2 linked regions of the Stegostoma tigrinum genome follow. Each later gene encodes a partner of the first gene's protein in a complex. Links are inferred from orthologs where the notes say so. Each region holds a gene or a part of one and is shown on either strand. Other genes may lie near its edges.

Region 1 (7,266 bases):
CCCTTATGACATAGGTGCATGTTAACTTCGTGATATAAATGATTAGGAAGATCTATAGAATACTGGCCTTTATTGCAAGGGCAATGAAGTATGTGTCGTCAAAGCAATGGCAAAAACTAAACATCCAGATGGCCCAAGCTAATGCCCAAAAGTTAGGAATACTTTACTTTAAAAGATCTGTAAGATTCTGAAAAGAGAGCTAGTTGTAAGTAATACAAGATTCTCCAACTAGTGTAAGTTTACAGCGAACTGGTGTTAGCCACACCATAGGTGAACCACAGAAGCCTGATTATTAGATTGAACACTGATACTGCAACGTGCCACATGAAATTTCACTTTCAATATAATCCAAATGACAAAATCAACACAGCTTTGATTCCAATCATGGTTCAATTGTCAGAGCTTGTTCTGTCTGCCCACTCTAATACACAAATACAGGCTAATTTTTTTTTTAAAAACCTGTGTGTATGATGACAACAACACGTTGGAGTACATTTCACAGACATAACGCAACTCAGGACTGGAATGACACTACACACTGAGCAAAACAGGCTATTTTATCAGTGTCATGTCAATGGCCTTGATTTTACATACTCGCATTTACCATTATTTTACTATTTAGTTGAAATTGTTTTGCTATGAAATACTTGTAAAAACACTGCTTAAATTTGTTTAAATTCATCAAGGCAACCTGCACAATTGCAAAAATGACCAGGTCCTAACTGAATTAATCTGTTCCATGCAAGTGCTAGGAATTTTTCAGCAACAGAAAAACGTTTACATTTCAAAGCCACAGAATTCCAAGGGTAATATGCTATACAACGTTCCTTAGCTAGAAAGGGCTCATGATTCCAAAAATACACCAAAAGAAGTCATAACCCTCAAAGTAGTCCATTTGCTATGTCCACATCCAGAAAGCATGCCAAACATGGGGTGCTCCAAAATGAATCACAACATTAGCAAGGCAATTGCTGCATTAGGCAATAATCTATTGCTATGATCATAAACATTTAGATAGCAGCCGATATCTGGATAGCCTGAAACATTAGAAAACTGCAGCAAAATCCTCCTGGCTGTTCAGCTTTAATGCATCAAGGCATTTATTTCTGCTGACAGTATCACTGCTTAAATTTATGTTTCTAAACCTTTAATAGCTTGGTATTAAATCCCAACATACTAATAATCTAAAATTGAAATCCTGCACAGATTACATAAATGCATTTTTCCCTCAGGTAAATGACTTGTTGTAAAACAACCTTCATTGTTCAAACTGCATCACTAAATTAACGCAACATAATACACTGAAATAGATGACTAAAATTAAAGGGTAAAATCTGCCATTGCGACATTGAGCGATGGTAAAAGGCCCATTTACCGTAAGGAACGGCTATTTAAAAAGCCGAATCCACCAGGTTTCACTGAACTAATTGCCTCTCGTGTATCCAACCACGTTTAAGTCGAAATTTACGTCGCAAAGTAGTTATGCAATGTTAACATTTGCAGAGAAAACTACTTTTAAAACAAAAATTACCGATTACAGTCTGTAATATTTTATTAAAAGGCACTCCACAAACAGAAATTCCAAGAAACACACCGTAATAACGCTTATTTCTCTACCAGCTGTCACTGAAAAGCTAAAACAAAGCTAACGAATGGGGGAGGGGAAGTAAAAGGACAGTCATTACGTGGGGTTAGGTTTCCTAGAGAATTCCTTTGTGAATTAACGTCGCTGGAACAAACCAGAAAAACACATTTAACATGCATCACACCGACGCACTATACAAAACAAAAGTTCTCCATCCTGGTAAAGAATATGGTCAATCGTAGCATAAGGCTAGTTAATCTAATAAAGTTTTTTTAAAATCGAGAAGAGACTTTAAGAGTTGTTGGCAGCAACATTAGTTACTAAAACCAGTAACAAACCACCATTCCGTGGTAAAACAAAGTAAAGGTTGAGGGAGGAAGGAAAGTCAGCCATTACACGAGGTTAGTTATTCCAGAGATTTAATCTTTGGTTTTATGCTAATGTATAAATACAATCTAAACAGTTGCGGAATATTCTGGATCAAGCAATAATGTCATGAAATGATTAAATTAAGGAAATACTGATATAGGACAACTAGTTGCAAGATTTTCGAAAACAACCAACGTCTTTCAGCTTCCTGCTCAGCCTACACAAATTTGCGAAGATTACACGATCTTGTAAAGGTGTAACGGCCCCAAATAACGAGTTCATGAAAATAGTGATACATAATACGTAGCTACAAAATTCCATACAGCAAGCGGGAATGTCTTAGTCTGACCATGCAGATCAGTGTCTTATTCACAGACACATGAAAATTCCTCTCAAGACCTTGTGTAACAAGCAATAACGTCTAAGCTTGTGGAAACATTTTTTAAAAGAAAAATCGAGCTGGAGCATTTTCCATAACAAGTAATAATGACGTTAAGATGTCTCTACTAACCCCATATCAATGCACAGCTATATAAAAACTGGTTGCAAGACCTTGCAGAACAAGCACGAATGTTTGCAAATGATGAGAGCACTGCCGTCTCTGGGTTAACTGCTCACTCAGTGCACAGGCTGGGCTGTGCCAAACGCTTTTTACTCACCCACAGATCTGTATCCTAATATCGCAACCTTACGGGACTTCGGTTGTGGCATGTTAACAACGAGGTTCAAGCCAAAAAAAGTACTTTTTTATATTTTAAAAAATGTTTCTGTTGTTATTTCCTTTTTAAAAGAATTCAAATTACAGGCCGACAACCCCCCCAGGAAAAAAAGTAGGGGGAGGGGTGGGAACTTAATACCTCAATAAATTAATCTACATGGATTTCTTTTAAGAAATACGGAGTTTAGAAAGCAACAAAAAACACAATCAATGGTAATTTCTGTTCTACTGAGGTATGATCTGTCAGGTATTTGCTATTTTTGGGCTCTCTAAACGCGTAGTGGCGCAGCTCCGGCCCCCTTTCCCCTTCACCAGATTCAACCGGAACCTTCCAACAGGCAGGACCCACCCCCTCACCGCCGCCTATTGGACTAACCCCGCCGGCCTAACGTTTTCTTCCACGTATCGATTGGCTGAAACGTGCGTCAATCATATATCTCCCCGCCCACTCCGCCTTCCCATGCCTCAGTGTGCCGGCTGCGCGCAGGGCAAGTGTTGGTTTCTCAGCAACGCTGGCGGCTGGTCTGTTCACCCCGCCCCGTTCTCAAGCCCTACCCAACACGCGCATCTCGCGCTGATTGCTGGGAATTGAAGTTCATTTGATTCCCTCCCTTTAGTGAATTCCTTACAGTGTGGAAATAGGCCATTTGGCCCATCGAGTCTGGACCGAGCCTCCGACGAGCATCCCACTCAGACCCACGCCCTTACCCAACTCTGTAACCCTGTATTTTAGGTCTAGGCCCGAAATGTCAGCTTTTGTGCTCCTAAGATGCTGCTTGGCCTGCTGTGTTCATCCAGCTCCACACTTTGTTACCCTGTATTTCCCATTGGCTAATCCACCAAGTGTGCGCATCCCTGGTTATTATGGACAATTTAGTATGGGCAATCCACCTAGCCTGCATATCTTTGGACTATGGAAGGAAACCGGAGCACCCGAAGGAAACCCGCTCAGACACAGGAAGAATGTGCAAGCTCCACACAGTCACCTGAGGCTGGCATTGAACCTGGGTCCCTGGTGCTGTGAGGCAGCAGTGCCAACCCCCGAGCCATTGTGCTCCCCTTCTAAAAGTCAGAGCAACAGACAGAAGAGAACCCAGGACAGGTCTTTGTGGTACACCACTCATAACTGAGCACCATGTTGAATATTTTCCATCCACTGCCATCCTTTGCCTTCTTAGGGTCAGTCAATTCTGAATCCAATCTGCCACATTTCCGCCTATCCCATGCCTCCTTACCTTCTGCAAAAGCCTACCATGGGGAACCTTATCAAACACCTTACTTAAAACCATGTATACCACATCCACTGCTCCACCTTCATCCACGTGTTTGATAACCTCTTCAAAGAATTCAATAAGGTTTGTGAGGCAAGATCTACGCCTCACAAATTCATGCTGACTATCACAAATCAAGTTGTGCCTATCCAAGTGATCATAAATCCTATATCTCAGAGCCCTTTCCAATAATTTGCCCATCACTGACGTAAGAGTAATTGGCCTGTAATTTCCAGGGTTATCCCTATTCCCGTTTTTGAACAAGGGAATGTTGTTTCTCTCTCTCCAATCATCCGGCACTATATCCTTGGACAGTGAGGGTGAAAAGATCATCGCCAAAGGCCCTGTGATCTCTTCCCTTGCTTCCCATAGAATCCTTGGATAAATCCCATCAGTCCTGGGGTACTTATCTATTTTCAACTCCCTCAAAATTCCTGGTACATCTTCCTTACCAACATCGATCTCCTCTAGCCTACCAGCCTGTTTCAGACTGTACTCCTCTACAACTGGGTCCCTCTCAGTTGTGAATATCGAAGAAAAGTATTCATTCAGGACCTCTCCGATCTCTTTACGCTCTGTGCACAAATTCCCTTTACAATCCTTGATTGGCCCTACCCTTTCTCTGGTCGTTCTCTTATTTCTCACGTATGTGTAAAAAGGCCTGAAGTTTTCCTTGATCCTATCCACCAAGGTTTTCTCATGCCCCCTTATAGCTCTCCTAAGCTCTTTGTTCAGCTCCTTCCTGGAAAACTTGTATCCCTCTAGAGCCTTTTCCAATCCTTGTTTCCTAATCCTTACATAAGCATCCTCTTAACCAGACATTCGACCTCTCATGAGAACCAGCGCTCCTTCACGTGACCGCGTCTTCCCTTACTGCCAGGGGCAAACACATCGAGCACACGCTGTATGCATTCCATAAACAATCTCCACATTTCGATAGTGCTCTTCCCTGACAGCATCTGTTCTCAATTTAGTTACCGTGTTCTTGCCTAACGGAATTGTAATTACCCTTCTCCCCCCACCCCAATTATAAACCTTACTCTGCTGTATGTACCTATCCTTTTCCATGAGTATTGTAAAATTAACAGAGTTATGATCACTACTGCCGAAATGCTTTCCTGCCAACAGATCTCACGTTCGGCCCAGTTCATTGTGAAGCACCAAATCCAAAATGCCCTCTCCTTGTATCAGTGATAATGGGAACTGCAGATGCTGGAGAATCCAAGATAATAAAATGTGAGGCTGGATGAACACAGCAGGCCCAGCAGCATCTCAGGAGCACAAAAGCTGACGTTTCGGGCCTAGACCCTTCATCAGAGAGGGGGACAGGGAGAGGGAACTGGAATAAATAGGGAGAGACGGGGAGGCGGACTGAAGATGGAGAGAAAAGAAGATAGGTGGAGAGGAGAGTATAGGTGGGGAGGTAGGGAGGGGATAGGTCAGTCCAGGGAAGACAGACAGGTCAAGGAGGTGGGATGAGGTTAGTAGGTAGGAGATGGAGGTGCGGCTTGGGGTGGGAGGAAGGGATGGGTGAGAGGAAGAACAGGTTAGGGAGGCAGAGACAGGTTGGACTTGTTTTGGGATGCAGTGGGTGGAGGGGAAGAGCTGGGCTGGTTGTGTGGTGCAGTGGGGGGAGGGGACAAGCTGGGCTGGTTATGGGATCCAAAGAGGATCCCCCTCGTTCTCACACACCACCCCACCAACCTCCGGATACAACGCATCATCCTCCGACACGTCCGCCATCTAAAATCCGACCCCACCACCCAAGACATTTTTCCATCCCCACCCCTGTCTGCTTTCCGGAGAGACCACTCTCTCCGTGACTCCCTTGTTCACTCCACACTGCCCTCCAACCTCACCACACCCGGCACCTTTCCCTGCAACCGCAGGAAATGCTACACTTGCCCCCACACCTCCTCCCTCATCCCTATCCCAAGCCCCAAGATGACTTTCCACATTAAGCAGAGGTTCACCTCCACATCTGCCAATGTGGTATACTGCATCCACTGTACCCGGTGTGGCTTCCTCTACATTGGGGAAACCAAGCGGAGGCTTGCAGACCGCTTTGCAGAACACCTCCGCTCGGTTCGCAATAAACAACTGCACCTCCCAGTTGCAAACCATTTCCACTCCCCCTCCCATTCTTTAGATGACATGTCCATCATGGGCCTCCTGCAGTGCCACAATGATGCCACCCGAAGGTTGCAGGAACAGCAACTCATATTCCGCTTGGGAACCTTGCAGCCCAATGGTATCAATGTGGACTTCATCAGCTTCAAAATCTCCCCTTCCCCCACCGCATCCCAAAACCAGCCCACTTCGTCCCCTCCCCCCACTGCACCACACAACCAGCCCAGCTCTCCCCCCCACTGGATCCCAAAACCAGTCCAACCTGTCACTGCCTCCCTAACCTGTTCTTCCTCTCACCCATCCCTTCCTCCCATCCCAAGCCGCACCTCCATCTCCTACGTACTAACCTCATCCCACCTCCTTGACCTGTCCGTCTTCCCTGGACTGACCTATTCCCTCCCTACCTCCCCACCTATACTCTCCTCTCCACCTATCTTCTTTTCTCTCCAACTTCGGTCCGCCTCCCCGTCTCTCCCTATTTATTCCAGAACCCTCACCCCATCCCCCTCTCTGATGAAGGGTCTAGGCCCGAAACGTCAGCTTTTGTGCTCCTGAGATACTGCTGGGCCTGCTGTCTTCATCCAGCCTCACATTTTATTATCTTGCCCTCTCCTTGTGTTGGTCTATCTACATAATGTGTCAGGAATCCTTCTTGAAAGCACTGGACAAAATCCGCTCCATCTAAACTATTACAACTAAAATGTTTCCAATCAATATTTGGAAAGTTGAAGTCACCCGTGGTTACAACCCTGTGACTTCTGCACCTTTCCAGTATCTGCCTCCCAATCTGCTTCTCCACTTCTCTACAACTATTAGGGGGATCTGTTTTTAAAAAAAACCCCAACAAAGTGACTGCTCCTTTGTTGTTCTGGACCTCAAACCAAACTGACTCTCTCGACATATCATTCTCGAACTGTGTTTCAGTAGCTGCTATATTAGCCCTGGCTAGCAGTGCAACTGCCCCGTTTCTTTTTCCCCTCACCCTATTTCTTTTAGAGCATCTAAATCCCAGAACCTCCAGCAGCCGTTCCTCTCCCTGAGTTACCCAAGTTTCTGGAATGGCCACAACATTGTAGTTCCAAGACCGACTCGTGCTCTAAGTTCATCCGCATTATTTCTGATACTTGTAGCATTGAAATATATACACCTCAAACCATCTCTGCGTCCAAGCTAAACTTTACTGTTTAGTGGTA
Region 2 (7,815 bases), on another chromosome or scaffold:
AGAAGGCAGTGGTGAGCTCATTTCTTGAACTGTTGCAATCCATCAGGGGTCAGGTCAACCACAGTGCTGTTAGGAAGGGAGTGGTACAGGTCTGTGTTGCTATGTTCACATTTCATGTTTTCCAGCTTTTCTTTTTTCCACCAATTTCTCTATGAAATACGATTTCAGATGCTGATTCTTGTAAGGGATCATGGTTCTTGTATTTAGCAGGGTCATCTTTCAGTAACTAGCGATAGCCTAGTTGTTAATAATTCTAATGGAATCATTAGTATTTTATTTAGGCATATATCCATTGTTTATAACTATGTGAGGTGATCTTAGATCTTGCAAAGGTGGATTTCAACAAGATGGTTGCTAGAATGGATGACACAGTTTAAAAAGAAAAAAAGAAACAGTCTTTCTTTTAAGATAGAGATGAAGAGAATTTTTCCAACCAAGGATCATTAAGATTGTGGAATTTTGTCTCCCTTGATGACAGTATAAACTAAGTCTTTCACATTTACTCATGACAGATAAATTTTGGATTAATTAGGGAGTCAAGGGTTATTGGGTGCAGAGAGGAAAGTGGAGATGAGGCCAAAACCAGATCAGCTAAGATCTTATTGAATGTTGAAGCAAGTTCAAAAGGGTCAAATAGCCTACTCTCCTCCTACATTTCTATTTATTTACTCCTCATACCCTTGCCAATTTTATTGCAGTGAATGTAAAGATATGCATCACATTCAAGACTCTCTGAAGAAAACTCTGTAATGCATCAATTTGGAGGTAGAAATATGCTAAGAGCACTATTATTGAAGCATAAATTGGACTGCAACTTCACATACACACAATTAAATGCAAAAGTCAAAAAAAATCAGAATCAGCTGTCCAAGCTGCCCTGTTCATCTATAGGCTTAAAGTACAATAATAAATTACAACAAAGACTTACCACTGAAACACACAGAATTTAGGTTATATACCCATTGAACTCATTTTATAAAGCTAAGAGTTTGACCATTTGAGTGTAAGTTTTTTTGTTAAATGGCTTAAATAAGTCTTAACTAATGCCAAACAGCCTACCAGGTTTGAAAATTAATTTCTGTATATGTGGAGTTCTCATTCCTTCAAATTTTACTTGTTATTGTGAATTTAAAAACAAAACCCTTTCTTTTCTACCTCATCTCTCTAAATATACTTCTTCCTTGCACATTAATTAGTATTTAATTAACTGTTCTAATCTACACTTCCTGGATAGGAATATATGCTCCAGCGAGGATCCACAAATCCCATTGGTTAATTAGATGCACAATTCTTTGTCCAGTTCAGACAGGTCCCAAATCTCAGTTGAGGGCACTGCACCAAAATAGCTTTCAAAATACCGCAAGAAACTGTACAAAAGCCCTGAGAGAATCTGTGGCCAAATGTAATGAAAGACTAACACTGTTTGCTTTATGCTAATCACAAAATCTAGGCCATCCAATATATTTTCAGACATAAGCTCAATGACTAGTTCTTTGAAAATTTCGAGGGCTTAAACAACATCAGAACACAACAATTCTCACCTAATAAGAACGAAATTAAAATAATGTACCAAACCCAAAATTTTATAATATTACTAAATTATACAGCAGCTCAACACCGCTCAATGCTAATTAGGGATGCATAACAAATACTGACCTTGCCAACAACACTAACATTCGCATGAATGAATAAAAAACATCCTTACAATAATGAAATCATCAAATTTTATGGTTCAAAAGGAGGCCATTTGGCCCATCATGTACTGGCTCTCGAAAGAGCTACCCAGCAACTGCTGTTCTTATCAGGGATAACAAGGTTTAGAGCTGGATGAACACAGCAGGCCAAGCAGCATCAGAGAAGCAGGAAAGCTGATGTTTTGGGGGCCAGAGGCCATTCTTCAGAAATATATTTCTGAAGAAGGGTCTAGGCCCAAGACATCAGCCTCCTGCTCCTCTGATGCTGCTTGGCCTGTTGTGTTCATCCAGCTCTACACCGTGTTACCTCAGATTCTCCAGCATCTGCAGTTCCTACTATCTCTGCCATTCTTATCATAACAGCTATTGTCAACTTACTATAATCAAACTTTCTGAACCAATATTTTGTTCGCTAAGACAGTAAACCTGTCCAACTGTCATTAGTCAGGAGTGACATGTATTGATTTAATAGGTAATGTAGAGCAGCTTGCAACCTGCACCATTTTTAATCATAAATGTCACCTACAACACAAGGACGATCTTGACAACATTTAAATAGCACTTTAACAAAAACTGTCGTGGGAGATACGTTTCGTCATATTGACAATTGGAACAGTACAAAACAATAATCCTAAAATGAGCGGAAATTCAACTGTTTGTCCCAAACGTGCCCATATCACGAGCTGAGTTACGCTTTGGATTATTTTTGCCTCAAAAGATGATAATTTGTCCTGACAGTAAAATAACGCGCAGTGCTGCAACCGCATTAAATCGCTGTCCCTTGCAGCACAAACTGAGATTGGGGAATTAGCCGGGTGCAGACTCCTTGGCCCTGTCCTGAGGAGTCACCTTCAACGCCCTGGGCCACTGCAAACTATCGTCAGACAGCTGCTGTTGGCATATCAGAGCTGAACATCCGCATTCACATGTGTCCAGGTCCAGGTCCAGGTCCAGGTCCAGGTCCAGGTCCAGGCCCAGGCCCAGGCCCAGGCCCAGGCCCAGGCCCAGGCCCCGGCCCCGGCCCCGAGCCTACAAGCCGCACTTACCCCGGGGACAGGCAGCTCACAAATTAGGTAAAACAGGAACCTTCACACGGGTAAAGGATACAGCTTAAAGCCCTTCAGAATCTCCTTAGCCCTGTCTTCCTTCGAAGACATTGCAGTTCTCCCGATCCTTCTCCGATAGATCGGAACAAAGGGATTAAAGCGATTAATGTGAAAACAAGAATATCTGTAATGTCAATAAATGTAAAATCGAGCAACAAGCTGATTATCGCCACAGCAACGCTCGGCTCATCGCAGCCCGGAACACCTCCACCCGCCAGCAGCCAATCAGAATGGCTAGCCGGTGCCAACGTCCGATTGACATGGAGATTGACCAATAACCTACGGGTATCTCCGTCAGTCAGCCATTCATCAGGAGGACCCACCCTATAGAGGCAGGGACTGTCGTAAAGCACAGGGCCGATTGGTCATCTTTACAGTCAATCACAGGCGGAAATGGTTTTTGTTACTGGCCTCCACGCTTAATTTTCCTGAAAAAGTAATTCATTGAACCATCTCATTATCCTGGATTAAACTGACACAGAGGTCTCACTGGACACTCTGGTCAAGTTTGGTCAGGTCAGAGGTCGGATATAGTGTCACCAGGATGTCGACCTGTGAAAGTATGAACAGACAGCACATGTATCATTGATAGGAAGAACATTGGGCCATTCAGCCCATCTGCCACAAGAGATTATCTGCTCATTGACATTTGCAGTGCTCTCCCCATATCTGTTGATATACTTTGTATGTTTACAACCTCCTGGGAAAGCACCATAAAGGGACCAAAAACAAAAGTGAGGAAGTGTCACTAGACCCAAAATGTTAACAGTGATAATGGGAAACCATTTCCACTCCCCGGCCCATTCTTTCGATGACATGTCCATCATGGGCCTCCTGCAGTGCCACAATGATGCCACCCGAAGGTTGCAGGAACAGCAACTCATATTCCGCTTGGGAACCCTGCAGCCCAATGATATCAATGTGGACTTCACCAGCTTCAAAATCTCCCCTTCCCCCACCGCATCCCAAAACCAGCCCAGTTCGTCCCCTCCCCCCACTGCACCACACAACCAGCCCAGCTCATCCCCTCCCCCCACTGCATCCCCAAACCAGTCCAACCTGTCTCTGCCTCCCTAACCTGTTCTTCCTCTCACCCATCCCTTCCTCCCACCCCAAGCCGCACCTCCATCTCCTACCTACTCACCTCATCCCACCTCCTTGACCTGTCCGTCTTCCCTGGACTGACCTATCCCCTCTCTACCTCCCCAGCTATACTCTCCTCTCCACCTATCTTCTTTTCTCTCCATCTTCGGTCCGCCTCCCCCTCTCTCCCTATTTATTCCAGAAGCCTCACCCCATCCCCCTCTCTGATGAACAGTCTAGGCCCGAAACATCAGCTTTTATGCTCCCGAGATGCTGCTGGGCCTGCTGTGTTCATCCAGCCTCACATTTTATTACCCAAAATGTTAACTCTGATTTCTCTTCACAGCTGCTGCCAGACCTTCTCAGCTTTTCCAGCAACTTCCGTTTTTGTTTCTGATTTACAGCATCTGCAATTCTCTTGGCTTTTACCATAAAAGGAGCCCTGCTTTCCTGGACTCATACCAAAGTTTATGTTTTGAAAAATATGCACAGGACCCTAACTTACCTGACTTTCAGAGCAAGGTTGAAGGATATCACGGACCGGGTTTCTGTCCTAAACAAAACCTATTGTTTTTTATAGATAATTTGACTGTAGTTACAGGTAAATATAACACCAGTAACAAAATCTAATCTTCTTATAGATACCCTATTATACACATAGAGACAAGAAAATAGGGAAAACAAATTATTGACAGGGATAAAGCAAAACTGGAATATCAGTTCAGTGGTCTTTGCTATCCAGTTTTAATGTTGAGATGTTCTTTCTTCAGTTAACCAGAACCTTCGTGTTCAGTTGACTTTCCCTGGAATCTTCTAATGATTTGCTATGAAGACTATATATAGACCAAACATCCTTGGCCTCAAACCAGTCTGGAACTGTTTTGAAAGTCAGAGAAAACAACAGTCTTTTATTGATTGGTTGATGTTACTGATTGATTTTATTGAAACATAAACAAAGCTTTTCACTGTATTTCAATATGCAAGCGATACAGGCAGATCACAGTAAGCAAGGATACACAGATCAAAAATACTTAGAGACATACAGGTTACATTATTTGAGGCTACAATCCATTTAACAGGCTGATAATGACTGTAAAGAAGATGTTTCTGAACATGCTTGTGCATGTGTTCAGGCTTCTGTATCTCTTGCTTGACGGAAGAGGTTGTAGGAGGTCATTACCAGGGTGCGATGGGTCTTTGCTGATGTTGGCCTTCTTTCTGTGGCAATGAGCTGTGTAACTAGAGCCCATGGATGGAAAGTTGGCTTCTGTGATGGTCTGGGCTGTGCACACAACCTTCTTTAGTTTCTTGTAGTCCTAGGCAGAGCAATTGCCATACCAGGCTGTTATGTAACTGGATAGTATGCTTTCAATAATGCATCTGTAGAAGTTGGTGTGGATCCTTATGGACATGCCAAATTTCCTGAGCCACCCGAGGAAAAAGAAGCATTGTTGTGTTTTCTTGATTGTCACATTTAGAACATAGAACATAGAAAAGCACAGCACAGTACAAGCCCTTCGGCCCATGATGTTGTGCCGTGGAATAATCCTAATCCAAAACTAAAATAACCTAACCTACATTCCCCTCAATTCACTGCTGTCCATGTGCATGTCCAGCAGTCGCTTAAATGTCACTAATGACTCAGCTTCCACGACTACCACTGGCAAAGTATTCCATGTGCTCACAACTTATGTGGGAAGTCCAGGACAGTTTGTTGGATATTGTCACTTCGAGGAACTTGATGCTCACCACTCTCCCAACCTCAATTCCATTAAATGTAGGTGGAGGCGTGTGCTCTTCCTTTCTTTCTGAAGTTGATGATCAGTTCTTTAGTTGTACTGTGTTGGAGTGACAAATTGTTTTCATTGCACCACATCACCAAGCCTACATTTCAAAAAACTCAAAACTGTGATAAATTATAGTTGGGGAATCTCCCAACTCCCATCAAGAATGATTCTGGACTACCACCTATAGTGGCATTTGTTGAAACCACCATGAAACACATGACGAATGGTAAAGCCACTGCAGTGGACAGGATTCCAGTGGAGATTTTGAACCTTGGAGGAGCAAAGCTTACCCATCATCTCCAAAAATTGGTCCTCAAAATCTGGGACAAAGAGGAAATCTCTGACGATCACAGGGGTGCTGCCAATGCCACCATCTTCAGGAAAGGAGACAAAGCGAACTGTGGAAGCAACTGAAGAATCTCCCCATTATTGGTCGCCAGGGAGATCACTGAGACACTTTCTCCCAGTCTCTGAATAAATCCTTCTGAAAGCCAGTGTAGCCTCTGACCAAACTGTGAAAATATGGACATGACTCCAAAATAAATGCCAGGAACAACACCAACAACTTTACATGACTAGCATCAACTTGACCATGGTTTTTGATCCAGTCAGTCGGGAACTGCTACTGAAGACCCTATCAAAGGCCAACTGTCCAGTGAAATTCATCAACATTGTTTGTCTCTTCTATGGCAAGATGTTGGCAACAGTCCTCACAACAGTAATGTGACAGAATCTTTTGAGGTTAAGGTATGAGTCAAGCAGGGATGTGTCACCACCGATGTCCTTTCTTTCCTTTTCATTGCCATCATTCTTCATCTTGTCAAGAACACAAGTTTCCCAGTGGTGTGGACATTGTCCACAGAATGGACGGAAAACTTTAAACCTCAAACAATTAAAATCCAAAAAGAAAATCACACGAGTATAGTTCATGGAATTTCATTTCTGCTCTCTCAGTCTTCAAACCTTGTTTAATGCCTTTGCAGAATCATATTGAAGAATTGGTATCATTCTCAACTCCAAGAATCAAGTCCTTTCGAAGCCCATCCCAGGGCAAGTTCTGTTCGGTCCCTCCATTAAGATCAATGGAGAAATCTTCCCAAACATAGAACATTTCCCCTTCCTAAACAGCCATCTCTCTTCTAATCCAATCCATAAGCACCACCAATGAATATCTGAGAATGAGAGTCTTCAAAGATTGTGACATCCACTGAGATCCTTGTGTATAATGTAGTCATTCTTCCAATTCTTCTATATGCCTCCTAAACTTAATTTACATATAGACACCGCTTCAAGGCCCTGGGGAAGTACCATCAATGCTGTTTGAGAGGGATTCTCCACGTCACCTGGGAAGACAGGCATACTAATATCAGCATTTTCGAAGGAGCCAATAGCACCAGCATCAAGACCATGATCATTCAAAACCAACTCTGCTGGGCTGGCCATGTGCTTAGGATGCCTGAGTTCCGACTACCAAAGCAAATCTTCTTTGTTCACCTCATGGAAGGCATCGAAATGAGAGATGGACAAAGAAAGTGCTTCAGAGACTGGAGGCTTACCTCAAGCAGAATAGACATCAGTGCCTGAGAGACGCTGGTTCAGAAGAAACCAACTTGGAAGAATCTGCCGTGTAATGGGACACAATTTTTTTGAGAACACTGATCAGTAAGTGGAAGTATGAAACTGGAGTCGGAGAAAGGAATACCAGTGATTGAGGTCAAAAACCAATTCCACCTGCCATATGTGTGGTTGGAGGTACAGCTCTAGGATGTGGTTCATCAGCCACGCGTGCACCCACAGAACTCATGAACAGTGACACAGAACTTCCTAGATGCACAATCATACTTGTTAGTGAGTGATAACTGATGATGACTGGTTTCTCCGAGGTAAAAGAGTGACTGCTTCACTTGGAAATGTCTCTGATTTATCAATTCAAACATTACAGCTGCCAGCAACTGCTGCATAAAAAGTAACTCATTTTAATCTCTGCTAGGGAGAACAGCGGTACACCCTTCTGTGTCTTTCTGTGAGCCTATGACTCATGTTTCTTATCATTCAGTTAGCTGAAAACCAATCAGATTCACTGTAAACAACATCCCAACTCATTATTGTCTGCACGTTGCAGGGTGCCTTAGCCACAGAAATGAA

What was found. The genes of interacting proteins can lie anywhere in the genome.
Region 2: the proteins of rheb (region 1) and pde6d are in contact, whole or in part, in a crystal structure (PDB 3T5G), measured with the Homo sapiens proteins. The link is inferred for Stegostoma tigrinum from reciprocal best matches to the Homo sapiens genes RHEB and PDE6D. Residues at the interface, in NP_005605.1 of Homo sapiens: Pro2, Gln3, Ser4, Gln57, Asp77, Gln176, Gly177, Lys178, Ser179, Ser180, Cys181; in NP_002592.1 of Homo sapiens: Ile53, Leu54, Cys56, Val59, Val80, Gln85, Cys86, Leu87, Glu88, Glu89, Trp90, Ile109, Glu110, Ala111, Ala112, Pro113, Gln116, Met117, Met118, Leu123, Tyr149.

Annotation. Positions count from the first base shown.
Region 1 is NC_081355.1:146,855,417-146,862,682, reverse strand, and holds the start of rheb (GTP-binding protein Rheb), read right to left. Parts: upstream 3,012-7,266; 5' UTR 2,666-3,011; coding exon 2,614-2,665; intron 1-2,613. UniProt on the Homo sapiens protein: Small GTPase that acts as an allosteric activator of the canonical mTORC1 complex, an evolutionarily conserved central nutrient sensor that stimulates anabolic reactions and macromolecule biosynthesis to promote cellular biomass generation and growth.
Region 2 is NC_081367.1:37,422,599-37,430,413, reverse strand, and holds the start of pde6d (retinal rod rhodopsin-sensitive cGMP 3',5'-cyclic phosphodiesterase subunit delta), read right to left. Parts: upstream 3,009-7,815; 5' UTR 2,852-3,008; coding exon 2,802-2,851; intron 1,853-2,801; exon of another isoform or gene 1-1,852. UniProt on the Homo sapiens protein: Promotes the release of prenylated target proteins from cellular membranes. Modulates the activity of prenylated or palmitoylated Ras family members by regulating their subcellular location.